Linked DNA regions of Oreochromis niloticus. The protein of the gene in region 1 binds, or shares a complex with, the protein of each later gene. Links are inferred from orthologs where the notes say so. Each region holds a gene or a part of one and is shown in the gene's direction. Other genes may lie near its edges.

Evidence for each region. The genes of interacting proteins can lie anywhere in the genome.
Region 2: eif2b2 (region 1) and eif2b3 share a complex: the UniProt entries of both Homo sapiens proteins name them as parts of the translation initiation factor 2B (eIF2B) complex. The link is inferred for Oreochromis niloticus from reciprocal best matches to the Homo sapiens genes EIF2B2 and EIF2B3.

The regions. Positions count from the first base shown.
Region 1 is NC_031980.2:9,344,506-9,352,173, forward strand, and holds the start of eif2b2 (translation initiation factor eIF2B subunit beta), read left to right. Parts: upstream 1-4,663; 5' UTR 4,664-4,776; coding exon 4,777-4,948; intron 4,949-5,222; coding exon 5,223-5,343; intron 5,344-6,503; coding exon 6,504-6,652; intron 6,653-6,734; coding exon 6,735-6,898; intron 6,899-6,984; coding exon 6,985-7,080; intron 7,081-7,158; coding exon 7,159-7,296; intron 7,297-7,389; coding exon 7,390-7,456; intron 7,457-7,585; coding exon 7,586-7,668. UniProt on the Homo sapiens protein: Acts as a component of the translation initiation factor 2B (eIF2B) complex, which catalyzes the exchange of GDP for GTP on eukaryotic initiation factor 2 (eIF2) gamma subunit.
Region 2 is NC_031982.2:15,477,461-15,485,148, reverse strand, and holds the start of eif2b3 (translation initiation factor eIF2B subunit gamma), read left to right. Parts: upstream 1-4,678; 5' UTR 4,679-4,986; intron 4,987-7,688. UniProt on the Homo sapiens protein: Acts as a component of the translation initiation factor 2B (eIF2B) complex, which catalyzes the exchange of GDP for GTP on the eukaryotic initiation factor 2 (eIF2) complex gamma subunit.

The DNA.
Region 1 (7,668 bases):
TTGCCATGCCAAGTAAACTAGATCCTTGGTGCCCTTTTATCAAGTGAAGGCTCTTTGAAAACACAGTTTGTTGTTACTCTGATGACACAATTGGCAACCACTGAACTTCTGTGTTTTGTCACTTAATTTGCATACATGTCTGGTAGCTAAATTTAACTGTTTAGTTTTTTTTTTCATATTGTAATTACCACTTAGTTCTTTCAACTGGTAATTTTCTTTTTCTTTTTGGGGGGTTGTGAGTTGTCAGTAATATTCTTAGTTGTAAATTAGGTCATTTCTATGGGCTCTTGCATAGAGTTTTGTTTCGGAACATTAACATCACCTATCAAATGAAGCAAGGAACCAAAAACCTTGTTCCTAGGAAGGAATTTGTAACATCCTATGTATATGGTTATGAGTAAAAACACCCTCCTGATTTCTATTATACAGTTTAGATATATATATATATATATTTGTGAAAGCTTCTCCTGTCAGAGTGCAATGGACGGAGGTGTTGAAATGTAAAGCTATCCAAGCATTTTCAGTCATAGGCCCTTCTTCTTGACACTGGTAGAGCTAATTATTCTTCTGAAATTTCACAAATATCGGTTCCCAACTACAGTATGTGCAGATCCATCCAACATGCTTCTTTCCAGCAGAATTGTTTTGGCTCGGGGTGGTTGCAGATTGTTTTTGATGGGGATAAATTAAAGCATCTGTCATGGGGTACATTTTTAACAGTGAACATTGTGCGCAGTCACTGATTTTTATGTTGACTGATTAAATTTTGTAAATTTGTGTTGGGCTTTTATTCAATAAACTATTGGATGGATTTACATTATTTTTGTTTTGTCCTTTGAATTGCCTATTTAGGCATGTTTGAGAAGTAGGAGACGCATGTAGAGTGCATGTGCTCTCATTGGCTGATTTGTTATGTACACCTGCTCAACTGCCAAGTAGTGCATGCATCTAATCAATCACATGGCAGCAGCTCAGTGCATTTAGACATGGTCAAGACAACCTGCTCAAGGTCAAGCTGAGCATCAGAATGGCAAAGAAAGGTGATTTGCGTGGCTTTGAATGTGGCCTGTTTGCTGGTGCCAGATGGGCTGGTCTGAGTATATCAGAAACTGCTTGTCCACTTGAATTTTCTCCACACAACCATCTCCAGGGTTTCCAGAGTGTGGTCTGAAAAAAAGGAAAATTTCCAGTGAGCAGCAGTTCTCACAAGTTGGGTGAAACTCCCTCATTGATGCAAGAGGTCAGAGAATGACCAGATTGTTTGAATCATTTTTAGTCATGTTTTTATTGTGTTTTTACTGTTTTAAATACAACAGAAACCTCCATTTATTTATTTTTTTCCTTTCCACGTTTCCAACATGTTACATATGCATGTTCTGTATTGTTTAGCTGTAAAGAAGGCTAAAGAGCAACTTCTGCTCTTATTTCACATGTACTAATGCTTTATAGCAGTTTTAAACAACGCCTGTTTGACTACAATGGCAACTGTCACTTCAGTTAGACTGTCATTCTTCTGTTACTGCTGGTTGATTGAAAGCAAATAATAGCTCAAAAAACCACTTGTCACACCCAAGGTATTCAGAACAGCGTCTATGAATGGACAACATACAGAAGCTTGGGAAGACCACACCAGGTGTATTTCCTGTCTGCTAAGAAGAGGAAACTGAGGCTAAAGTTCACGCAGGCTCACCAGAATTGGACAAAAGAAGATCTGGAGTAAAGAACATGAAAACATGGATTCTGTATGCCTTGTATCACAGGTTCAGGATGGTAGTGATAATGTAATGAAGTTGGGGATGTTTCTTTGGCAGCACCTTGTTGAATCTTTGCCACAAAGAATTAAAGCAGTTCTGAAGGCAAAAGGGTGTGCTACTGAAGTGTGTTTATGTTTGTTTATGACTGTTAATGAATCTGCTGAGTGCTACAGTTTCTAACATGAAGTCATCATGTTAAAGTGACTTGGTGCTTTCATGTCTGACACTTTCCAGTAGCCTAATGTTTAGATGTGGAAGTCACCTTTTAAATTTATTTTTTGCCAGATCAAAGTGAAAAAAAATCAATTAAATAATTTTAGTAATAAACAATCTAGAAATAGACTAAAATTTAGTGGAAAAACAGAATTGCTAACAAATTAAAACCAAGCTTTTAAACCAGAAATCCAAACATCCCATCACCATAACAGCGGTTATCTAGGTTGGCTAGAGAACATGCCTCACTAACCTATTAATCTCACTTTTTACAACAACTGTGCTGATCACAAAAATTCTGCTGATCATCATAATGACCAGTAAAATTTCTTTTTTTCATGCCTTAAAGCACATGAATAATGATCACTAATGAGTAATTAGTAATCAAACTGTCCAGAAGATCATAACCATCTAAACACAGCTAGGATGCATGCAACACAGCGTATCTGAAGAAATGATGGAGCCATTAACCTCATGTGGAAGATGCTTCAATCCAAACAATTTCCAATAGATTGGACCTCTGCAGTGAGAAGAGGCAGATGCCATCAAAAGATAAAAGGTGAGCAACTGTGTTGTTGTCTTTGTGTTTTGTGAGGCGATACTTTAAAATGTCTTATATGCATTCAAATAAAATGCTTGTGTCTAAAAGAAGAAGGCTGACAGTCATGACTGTTACTGGAAGATAATACAGAGACGCCAGGGTGTACTTTAGTTAGAGATTCCATTTATAGTTTGCCATCAATTATTCAGACTCCCAGATCAGCGCCAGAGGATACCTGCACCATAATCACTATCCACCAGGCTCAATACAAAATCATATGATTGTGACAGACAATAACCTCAACATTAATTTCAAGGTGATGGAATATCATGGGACTGCGCTCTATTATCGCTCTGTTATAATCCCCCTGCATAAAGCAACAGTCCCATTCTAGTGAGCCGCCATATTCCGAGAAAATATATATTACTTATAGTTAGTAGAAATCCAAGAAAAGTCAGCAGTATTTCAATGGCTTAATATCAAGGCCAAACTTCCACTCAGCCTCAGACTCAAGTAACCAAGGGCTGCTTGAGAATATAAACAGCTGACAAGGATACAAAAAGTTAAAAAAAAAGAAAAAAAAAAAAAGGGAGATGATTTATTTTGGCTTCAAGCATCATACTGAGCCACATGTAAAATCCTACTCTTTAAGACTGTTTTCCAACCACTGTGCCCGAGAAATGATCAGGAGTACCCTGGAAGATTATCTGGTTCCACCTGATTAGTACACTAAGCGATCGGCGTGAGTAACTGGCAGAACAATTACATTCTCTTCCACTAGAGGGCAGTACAACCACCTGCTCTAATTAAATGGGTTGCCAACTCCGAGTAAAATAGAAGATGACGTAGAGAAAATTACATTGTCAGTGAGACAACGCAGCGCGTAATAGCAATAGATAAATATTTGAAAAGAAAAAGTAGTCAATCTGACCTGGGTCCTGGAGAAAATTGCGACCCAGACGAAGGCCGTAGCATGAGTAGTGATCAGAAAAAGCAAAAAAGGTATACTGGGGACAAACCGAGCCAGTTCCGCTATGCCTGGTGCGCGGGGGGAAATTATCAATATGCTTTTTGTGACATTTTTGTTTGGTGGTGTGCCGCGTGATTTTTCTAATGTGAAATATGTGCCATGGCTCCAAAAGGTTGGGAAACACTTCTTTAGGAAATATATGTTTTCAACAGTGCAGTGTGATCACTTTCAATGACAGTCTGACAATGACAGGAAGAAGAAAAGCCTCTTGTGATGGGTTTGTGTGTTATTTATATTTTAATTAGTTGTATATCATTTTTTAAAATTATTTTTGTTGCATTCAGTATGTATAAATTAACCAGGAGTGCACTACATCTAATAAACTGTCAACTTTGTGTAAATATACATATGTTTCTACAAACCTTATTTGAGACCAAACGAGCAGCCCGTTCACTAATTTCTCAATTAAAATGTTTTAACGATGCATAGACGATAAATATGTACTATTTTTATTGCTATGATAGTAACTATTAATATTACTATAATTAATCTTTCTTGCGCAGTTTCCCATTTCTCTTAAAAATCTACTTCTTTTAACCTCTCTTCGTTTTCATCCAGCATCTACGGCCCAAAATGGCCATAAAAAGGAATATTTGTCAACAAAGAATTAAATTAAGCACAAAGCATTGACCAGAAAGGTGTATGCTTTAGCTGAAGCTTGTTATATCTCCAATGTATACAGAGCATATTTTCACAAATAGCAAGCAAGACTTTTATTATGGAATCTAATTTCTGCCACTAGGAAAACTAAAATTAAAAACGTTTCGTCTATAAGTCCAAAGATGGAGTTATTGTCTCAAAATTTCAGCTTATGTACTCAATCTTCTGAGAAAATAACTAAAAATTGATCAAATCCATCCATCCATCCATTCGCTTCCGCTTATCCTTTTCAGGGTCGCGGGCAAATAGCATATATGTTCAAGGTATTAAGTCCAGGTTTTGAGATAATAACCCTATTTTTTTATTTGTGTTTTACGATATATAAGTAATAATAAAATATATATATATATATCGTTGTTTTACATTTCACTTTCAGACTGTCATTTTACTGTAGAAATGGGAAATTGTTGTAATTTCAACCCACTCTACTGTAACGCACGTGAAGCGGCAGACCAATCAGATGACGGCGAGCCCACAGCCACCCGGATGTACTCCTGAAGTGCTTCCTCGTCAAAACACTGGCATGGTGGAACTATTGAGTGACTCTAGTGTTACAGTTACAGCTTTTTAAACCAGCTATGCCGGGCCCATACAAAGAAACAGACCTAACCGAGAGGGTTGAGGCGTTCCTGTCCGACCTGAAGCGCGGGGGGACCGGGGCGGGACCTCTCCGGGGCTCTGCGGAGACAGCCCGAGAAACGACAGCCCTGCTCCGCAAAATTACAGCCCAGGCTCGGTGGGGCAGTGCAGGTGCTGAATGCTGTTTATTGTCGACACAGTGAAGCTAACTGCAGCGACAGCTGCCATTGTAGTCAAACAGGCTTTGTTTTTAAATCTGGTATAACGCTGTAGTACATGAGAAAAAGCTTTCTTTAGCTTTCCTTACAGCTAAACAATACAGAACATATATATGTAATATGCTGAACATGTGGGGAAAAAATGGAGGTTGCTGATGTAAAATCATACACAAAAAAATATTCTATCCTAAGATTTTGGTCTTTTACAAACATCTTCTCGATTTCAGGTGATCTGATGGAAATAATCCGCAAAGAGGGGAGGAGGATGACAGCAGCCCAGCCCTCAGAGACCACAGTGGGTAACATGATCAGACGGGTGCTGAAGATCATCAGAGAGGAATATGCCAGGTGAGGACGCCAAAACGTACCATTTTCAAAAAAATATTTGCTCCTTTTTAATTTTATAGCAACGTGTCCCAAAAAAGTTGGGACGAGGAGAACAAAAGGCTGGAAAAGTAAGCAGTACCAAAAGTAAACAGCTGGAGGAACATTTTAAAACCAATTACGTGAACTGGGAACAGGGCATTAACATGACTGGGTATAAAAGAGGATCTTAAAGAGGCAAAGTAAAGTAAAGATCGGCAGAGGTTCACCAGTCTGCAAAAGCCCTCCATAAATTGTTGATGAATTTCAGAATAATGTTCCTCAGTGTAAAAATGTGAACACTTTGAATATCACATCATGAAAAGATTTTGAGAAACTCGAGAAGTCTCTGTGCGCAAGGACCAGACTGAAAAACAGGACTGGACGCCTGTGGTATTCAGGCCATATTCAGATGGCACTGCATTTAAAACAGACATGATTCTGTCATGGAAATCACTGCATGGTATCAAGAACACTTAAAGAAACCACTGTTTGTGTTCACCTGTGTTCATCCACAAGTGTATGTTAAAGCTATACCATGGAAAGAAGAAACCAAATGAAGTGAGTCAAAGTGGAAAACTCTTCTGTGCATCATCAGTGCTGAAAACTATTTACATGTTTTAGAGTAACACATGTTCCCATTCAGATATTGGTAAACTGCATCTTGTACAGCAGTGTGGCTCTGTAGTAGAGGTGCTTTGGCTCTGAGCTTCCCTGCCTGCAGTCCAGACCTTTCACTATCTGGAAACATTTTATGCGTGTTGAAGTAAAGTAAATGTGACAACGAAAACCCGGGACTATCGAACAGCTAGAATCCTCCAGCATCCTCCAGCAGCTTTTCTCTTCATTTCCCAGATGTTTACAAACCATTTACAAACACGTCGCCGTCCCAGCCTATTTGAGATGTGTCGCTGCCCTCAAATTGAAAACAAACTAATGAGCTGCAGTTTCAAGTTTTTTCTTCTGTCCCAGAAAACCATTTGACCTCACAGTAAAGTTGAATCAATAGGCAGCCTTGGAAGCAAGTACGATCGTACCAGAGATTAAAGGATGAGAATATATTCCTTAGAAATACTTAAGCTACAGACGGCTCAATTACTTTGTGTTTTTTGTGAGATTTGTGCTTAGCTGTGTTTTTCTTTCAGATCTCGGGGCAGCAGTGAAGAGGCAGACCAGGAATCCCTCCACAAGTTGCTGACATCTGGGGGACTCAGCGAGGAGAACTTCAGGCAACATTTTGCTCCCCTCAAAGCCAACGTCATCGAAGCCATCAATGAGCTACTCACTGAGCTGGGTAAGTTGCTTTATAAACAAGATAGCGTCAGTTTTTATTTTAAATCACTCCAATTCTTGGTGCCCATCATTTTATTTTTCAGAGGGAACGACCGACAACATCGCCATGCAGGCCCTGGAGCACATCCACTCTAATGAGGTCATCATGACGATTGGCCGCTCGCGCACCGTGGAGGCCTTCCTCAAAGATGCTGCACGCAAACGCAAGTTTCATGTCATTGTGGCAGAGTGTGCTCCTTTCTGCCAGGTAGCTCATCTACATCAGTCAAAAAGGAAATACTAAATGTCTAACTTTAGATAGAAAACACATCTTATTTCTTCGCCTCCCAACAGGGGCACGAAATGGCTACAAACCTCTCAAAAGCTGGCATCGAAACAACTGTGATCACAGATGCTGCCATATTTGCAGTCATGTCTCGAGTTAATAAGGTACTTAACATTTTAAGGAGACCTTAGCGCAGTCATGTTAGAGCATGCAGGTGAACTTGTGTCATGATCTTTTTACAGGTCATCATTGGTACACAGACAGTTCTAGCAAATGGAGGCCTGAGGGCCATCAACGGGACACACACACTGGCCCTTGCAGCCAAGCATCACTCCACACCTCTGATTGTTTGTGCTCCCATGTTCAAGCTCTCACCTCAGGTAAGAGATTACTCCAAAGTCAGAGTTATCTCCTTTCAACCCCCATAAATGATTATACTCATACTTCTGTGAACATGATATGTCATATTTCAGTTTCCAAATGAAGAGGATACCTTCCATAAGTTTGTCTCCCCACATGAGGTGCTCCCGTTCACTGAAGGTAACATTTGCAAAAAAACTGACCTCAACCACGTGCCCACGTTTGGAAAATCCTTTTCAGATTTGGACATATCCTCTTTGTCATTTTTTTTTTTTTTAAATACCTCACATTTTTCTCTTCGTATTTCAGGTGAGATTCTCTCAAAGGTGAATGTGCACTGTCCTGTGTTTGACTATGTCCCGCCCGAGCTCATCACACTGTTCATCTCCAAC
Region 2 (7,688 bases), on another chromosome or scaffold:
TTAAGTCTTGGCCAGTACTAAGTGTATCTCTCTTATATTGTAGCTTTTTAAAGGCTAAATTTATTAGCAATTTAGTGAATTAGTAAATTTAGTGAATTCAGTAATTTAATGGATACAATAAAATACCCCAGACAGTGTTTTTTTCCTTAATTCTCTCTGCCTTGCTCCCATTTTCAAACACAAACACTAGTGTTTCTTGCTCTCCATTTCTACATCTCTCTGATCCTCTCTCTCTCTCACACACACACACACACACACACACACACACACACACACACATCACTGGCGTGCTCACACACCAGCAGACAAACACCTTAACCTCAAACCACACGCTAGGTGCAGACAGGACCACACATACTGTCTCACACACAAAATGTTTGGAATGCTATAAACATTTATTTCAGTTGAAAAGAAGATTTTTACAAGTGCGTGATGCGTACATGTGTGTGCGCGCACGTGTGTGTGTGTGTGTGTGTGTGTGTGTGCATGTCCGCTTTTTTTTCTGCTGAACAGGAAGGCCACCAGATCGAGAGAGATCAAACATGACCAAACATTTTGGGTGTGTTGTCCATAAAATGGGACAGGTTTATACATAAAAAGAGTTAAATCCATAGCTGAGTCATCGCTTACCCACAAAATGTTCCAAAAGGAGAGCGATTTATTAATTTCGTACATTTATGCTTTTGCTTTTTAGGGGTTAGATAGTTACAGAGTTAGTTACAGAGTTAGGATTTGAAAACTTTAGGATTTGTTAACTTAGGTTATAATACTGTAGTCTATAAAAATTCAAGTTTTTGCATTTAAATAATATATAACACAGTTCAGCAGTGTAATGTAATGATCTGGTGTTCATCCCCAATATAAAGGTATCAATTAGATTGATTTGAAATGAATGATCTCTAAACAAAAGGTACAAAATGTTCCATATACTTTTGTTTTTATTGCTATAGAGTGTATATATAAAGGTGTGTGTGCATGTGTGTCTGTTCGTGTTTGCCCTGTGTGGTTAACAGACCTCCCAGAAAGTCCATCAGACAGAATGTGGCCAAGCAAAGACACACAGACGCAGACAGCGAGCTGCAGTTCAAATGATATGGGCAAACTCTCTCCTTTCTTCTTGCAAAATCCTCCCTCTTCCATTAGCACTTTTCCTGTATAAGTCTATATTAATCTTCCTTTGTTACCACCTTAGTAGATCTTCAAAACAGCCTTCCTGTACAGCCTTTATCGCACAGAGACGATTGAGAAAGGCCTTTACAAACTTGACAATGACAGCCTTTGCGTTTGCAGCACGCTTTTTAAAAATATAATCATTTCACTTTCAACAGCTGCTATACTCTGTTACCGAAGATCCAGCATTTACCCTCAGACTCATGAAGACCACAACTATTTTACATTTAATTTTCAGAAAAAAGGAATTGTCTTATAATTGAGTAAATACGGAGTCTCGTAATGGAAAATGTGGCAGAGCGATAGACAACAATTGCCAGTATTGTAGCTCAACAGGGAGGGATGCAAATGGATAACATGCACAGTCAGATGGGTTATAGAGACCCTCAAACAGCATCTTACAGAGAAAAGTGCCAGCGCCCTGCAGCAGGGAGTTGTCCAGCTTTTCCCACTCTGGCTTCTCAAAACCCAACCCAGATATTTCCTGGTTCTGACACCAGCTTGGCTCTCAGATCCCTCCTGAAAGCAGAGAGAAACAAGAAGAGAATTACTCCAACTGTGTTCAAGTGAAAAGGAATGAATTTCAAGGTCTAGTGACGCAGACTGTTGAATGTCAGGTGAAAAAAAATGACATTTATTTGCGAGTCCCCAAAAAACACACTTTATATCACAGTTGTTTGACATATAACATTTCACAGCTGGTTTTGAGGCTGATGATGAACAAATTTGCATTCTGGGTTTCAGTCCAATAAAACAGTGACAATGGATCTTGTGAAGTATTTCATAACAAGAGGGAGGTTTTTAGCATGCAATAAACGAAAGTGCATTCGCAGTAAATTAGTAGAAAAAAACTAATCACATCACCGAAGGAATGTAAAACAGTTTCTGCATCGCTGCCACAGTGAGACATCTTAATCTTTGAACTGCGAGCATGTGCGTTCATCTCTGACACTGACTGGGCGAACGTGCCGGTTTTAGTTTCCATAGCAGTGGTAAGGGCCCCACAGAGCACTGGCCCTGGAAGTGGAGCAAACACAAACCACAGTATAAGTATGTGTGTGCGTGTGTGCGTGTGTGTGTGTGCGTTTGTGTGTGTGCGCATGTGTGACTTTGTATGTTCTGCAGTACCCACCTCTAAACTCAGAGGGAGGCTTCAAACACACACACAAACACACCCATGCATGTACACTCACACAGACTCTCGCCTTGGCTCTGTTCTCTCGCTGGGTGGTCTGTGCTACAAATGTTTATGATCTAAACCAAGCTAATCCAACTGGCTTGTTTCAGTGAACTGAGAATGATTTACAAGATGCTGCAACAGAGCCAAGGAGGGAGAGGAAATCAGAGGAAATCTTAGGGCTCCATTTCAAGTCACTCAACGATTAGACCTGCACGACTGTCTCCATGTCTGTTTGCATGCATATCCCCATCTGGTTCTGTCTCGGAGTTGTGGCATTCTGTTTTGGACCTTTTTTCATTTTGTCTTCCTCTAACCGCTCAGTCGGATGTCTTCATTTCTGACAAATAAAGCGTATTTTGAAAATATGTAAAATACATACGCTCGGGGAATTTTTTAATTTACATGTGATTCCTCTTTGCCTCATTTTTCAATTCTGTTTTCTTCTCCCCCGTTTTCCCCACATATATCAAAGAAGCCCTACAGTGTGTCTCTGTAGGGCTCCTCCTTACAATGAACATGCTAAATGAAGAGAGAGATTGTTCAATAGCATTTTCTCTATGTGTATGGAAGGATATCCTTAGGGCAGTATATGATGACAAAGCCTATTAGAAACCTTTCTGCAAGCAAACCAGAGTTTGCTGAAAAGCTTCCTTTTTTTCTATAGTCGGTCAAAGCTGCATTAAAAATAGAGAGATTAAAATGACAGTTATTGAGATCTTTAATAACCTTGAAAAGCAATAATATAAAGAAAAATGAATATGAATGTAGAAGTATGGAAAGGATAAGCAAGAAACATTGATGTCTGAGGGGAGGAGGAGAGAAGCTGAGCCATGTAAGATCTTTGTACTTAATTAAATTTTTAAGTAATACGTAACTTAGCATAAAACACATGCACATCTCATCAACTGGCCAATCACATTGTCTGAGCAATCAGTTAGCATTAGCCAAGAAGTTATCTATTGCTATTAAAAACTAAAACACTTACCATTTATTCCAGAAGAGAGTTTATGTAAACAAACACTTTTTTGTTTTCCCACCACATTCCAAAGTTTTTACAACACAACATTATTATGACTCAAGAACAACACCATCACAAGGATATCACATCCACTATAGAGGAAAACTCAAGTATTGTGCAGATGACATCACACAAAAAACTTCTGTACTAACCCCGTTTATTATTATTATTACAAGAACAAACAAACAAACAAAAAACAACTTTGATATCCTTTTAGACATGTTTGCTATCTTGCTGTTTGAGCTTTTCTTGTAACTAGCCAAGTTCTCTAATGTCTCACACACTTCAGCTCCCTGTGGTTAACCAGCTAAGTTAAGTAATCTTTGTGGTCTTTATTTGACTTTTACTGTGGCCTTTTTATTATTGTTTTCCTAGATTCCTTTGTATGAACTGACAAAGATGCCACCTGCATACTGACAACACCTTGCAGGCTTCAGAAGATGATAAACAGAAATGATCATATGTCAGTTAAAGTATGCTTTTATAAGATAAATAGCATATGGGATTGTTTGATTTTAGAGTTTGTTCTTTTGTTATTTGTCTACATGGCTCTTCTGCGCTGCTTATCTGACTTAGACCTCAACTGATGTTTAGCAATACTCAGCCAAGACAATGAAAAATCACAGACAGCAAATGCAGCTGGACACCCACTTTTTCAGCAATCACCATTCACGGTGGAGAAATTGCATTCAATAGTTTCGGCATTATGGTGTTTGGGCAACAACAGGCAGTCAGGCCTCTTCGTCTCTTTGTTGTTTTCTTTTTCTCTCCTTCTTCCCTCCCTTCTCGTGCTTGCCTGGCTTTGAGCAGGCAGTAACGAGCAGTCAAGCTCATCTCCTGGCCAGAGCAAACAAAACCAGAGCCACATTCCCCGAGCTCAATTTGCTGTTACGTCTCAGCTCTGTGAATTGGGATTTTTCTAAGCTTTAAGTCTAAAGGAGTAGCTGTTTGGCTTCTGGCCGCTAATCTGCTCACATTTTTACTATGTGTGAACATTTGTAATTCCTGGTACCACAGCTTTAAAAAAAAGAATCTTCTTTATCTCTTTAATAATGTAAAACAATTATCATCATCATCACTCGGAAAATTAATTTAGTATAAATCATAGTTTAGCTTGCCAGCATGATGATATTATACCCTAGCAGAGTGAAGTTTTTTTTTTCTTCTTAAACAGATCTGTTCTTCTCAACCATACCCATTCCTCCTTTTCCTCTTGTCTGTAAAAAACTTCAGTCTATGACAAATCATGGTCTAGTTTTTCTCCTATTCTCTGATCGGAACCATATTACAGAGGAAGTAGTTTCCCGCACGGACGCATTTCACTAAAGGCACGCAGGTGTCATCATTAAAATGCTAGTTGCTTAGCGTCTTTTGCGTAATTACTGTTAAATTATTTAGCGAGAAATCAAATATCTGTTATTTACTTGTATTTAAGTTACATGTCGGTTTTCAGAAACGTGTCCGGTTGGTTGTAATCTATCTCTGAAAAAGCGGCATCGTTTACTGCTCGCTGCTAGTCCTTAGCCGAGTGCTAACAACACTGACGGCAAGTAAGTTACATGCGTCTTGCACCGCTGTCATTTCGAGGCAGCCGAACAGCTCGGAGGGATTCTGACAGGTAGGTAAAGTTTTATATCTCACTGCTTCGGCTTTGAATTAATTCTTAATTCAAACTGATTTTTAAAGGATGGGTGTGCACTCGGTCAACAGGGTATGTCCTGAGCACACATGCCAGTTTGGCGCTAGTGGTTACTACAGCGATGACATGGTAGATATAAAAGATATGTGAAAGCGGACCTGGATTGAGCCGTCTGTTGCGAGTGTGTGTGCAGCACACCTAACCCGGCAAATATAACATTCCGTACACTCGTACACTCTGTTATTTAGAGCAGGCGCTGTGTGAAGCACATGCTGTACTGAGACTAAGAAAGCTATGACTGTAGGAGTCAAATAACTGCGCGATTTTAGATGTCATATTTCATCATGATAAACACAATATGCAGATTCCTCCTCTTTTTCCTTATTTTCAGCACATTCTCGCTCATTGTGGTGCATAATGGCAACCATAGGTGCCATACGTTACAATAAAGCACAGGCATCCTTGTTTACATACAATGAAGCACAGTTGTGCAAACTTGTTGGTGATGCACTGGTATCATGGCGTTGAAGGTGGATACCACTGAATGCTTGGGGAAAAAAAGACATTGGGAGTCCAATCAACAGGTATTAAGCTGTGCATGCTCTTGGAATGAAGGTGAATGAAGCAGTAGGGCTGGGCGGTATAACTTCAAAATTATATCACAGTATTTTAATGAAACTTGCAATAACAGTATTACTGATTATATAGAAAAGAATTCTGAACAAGGTTTTATTGATGCTTGCAGCTTGCAGGCATAAGCATCACTGTAAATAAAGTGTATTTCCATCCTTTTTTTCCATTGATGAAACACTAATTTAAATTCAGTTCAATTTTATTTATATAGTGCCAAATCACAGCAACAGTTGCCTCAAGGTGCTTTATATTTTAAGGTAAAGACTCAACAATAATGCTGATTGAAGTGTGACTTATTGAAGTGTGAATCTATTCGGGTACCAGCACGATAGTGAAGTAGTGATTACATAGCATTACATTCTGGGATGTTGTATGTTGGGTCACCAGCCTTTTAACCAGCTGCTTAATGTCCTGCTTATTCCACCATGTAACCACATATGTAATTTCCATCCACTGTTTGTTCTCCCTGGCATTTAGAGAACAGCTAGTGGTCCTCGGTGGAGCCGTTTGTTTACATTTGCACTGTATCTTCTACTTTATAGTCTGGTTGTACAATCTGTACAATCTGTGGCAATGTGTATTTGCTCCAAGTGCTGAAATATGTTTGTTGTTTTCGCTTTTAGTGGGAACTAGGATATTTTGCAAAGTATGGTTTTCGTTTATAATAAACCGTCAATGGCTCTCACTCTCAGAGATGCCTAGTCTTGTCTCATTGTCGTGTGCACTAGGGAATGTAAATGCATGGTGTTGCTAAGGCAAGAACCTTGCGATAAGACATTTTTATATTGTGTAAAAGTTACACTGGTATTTTTGTGGTTGTTTTAATGTGGCACTGCCCTAGTTGCCAGCATGATCATGACATTCAGAAATGTTAGAAGCCTGACTCCTGTGCTCATCCATCAGCACCGAGACCTCATTAGTGACACAGTACATCAAGCCAATACCATGAAAGACAGAAAAATACAGTTCTTGATGATCATGATGATGATACTAGTATTTTAGGGAATTCACAGTTTCAGTCTTTTGAGTAGGAGTGCACTGATCCTTAACATTAATGTCCTAACTTTGTAAAATGAAGTCCGTCTAGCATCACTGTTCAGTCACACAGGCTTCAGGGCTCGCAAAATTTCAAAATCCCTGGTAGCCCTTCGGGCAGGGACTCTTCAGTTTGTGGTAGCCCAAAATAAATTTAAGTAGCCCGATTAAAAAAGAGAGCAATTTTTTTTTGATTGATGGTTTGTTTCCTGTTTTGTTTCCGTTACAATATTATACATTAAAGTATAATATTGTAACGGAAACAAAACATTAATCAAAACATTGTTGAAACACAAATTAAACATTGTATAAAAATTACAATCATCAACTCAAATACTTGGTTCTAATTGAACAGAAATTTCTATGCACTTGTAAGAACTGTGTAGAACATGAATCAGTCTGTGACAGGTCCTGAATTTGGAATTTCCACTGAAGTCACGGGTAAGAGATAAGTGAAACCAAGATCTAGGACATTTTTTTTTGGAAGTTTGCAAAGACTGCTAAATTTTGCCAATGGTAGTTCACTCTTTGCAACATAGTACGCTGTTCTAAACAGATTTTTCAGGTTTATTTTTAGTATGTTCTTTGCAATTGGTGTTTGTTCTGGGAAAGATATTGCAGACTGAGCAATATTGCATTTCTTGCATTTCTCATGGGTTCTAATGGGGGTCTTTCTTAAAATTACTGGTCCCAGTAACAAAGGCGCTTGTCGACTCAGAAATCGAGGGAAAACCAACAACACACCCGGCAGAACATTGTTATTTACAGGGGTGCACATAAGTGGTCCGCAGGTGCGCATTTGTTGTCAAAATAAAAGACGCGCACCAGATAAGAAGTTGCAACGCGCGTTTGCGTACATATAAAAGGCACTGTTTTTGTCCGCTAGAGTGGGATTTTCACGGCATATTCTGCACCACATCTCTGTGTGTTCATCATTTGTTTGAAGCCAGCTCACCTCCTGCAACCACTTTTCCGAGAATACGCGCTTCTTTTGCGGTTCGGACTCCTCCTGA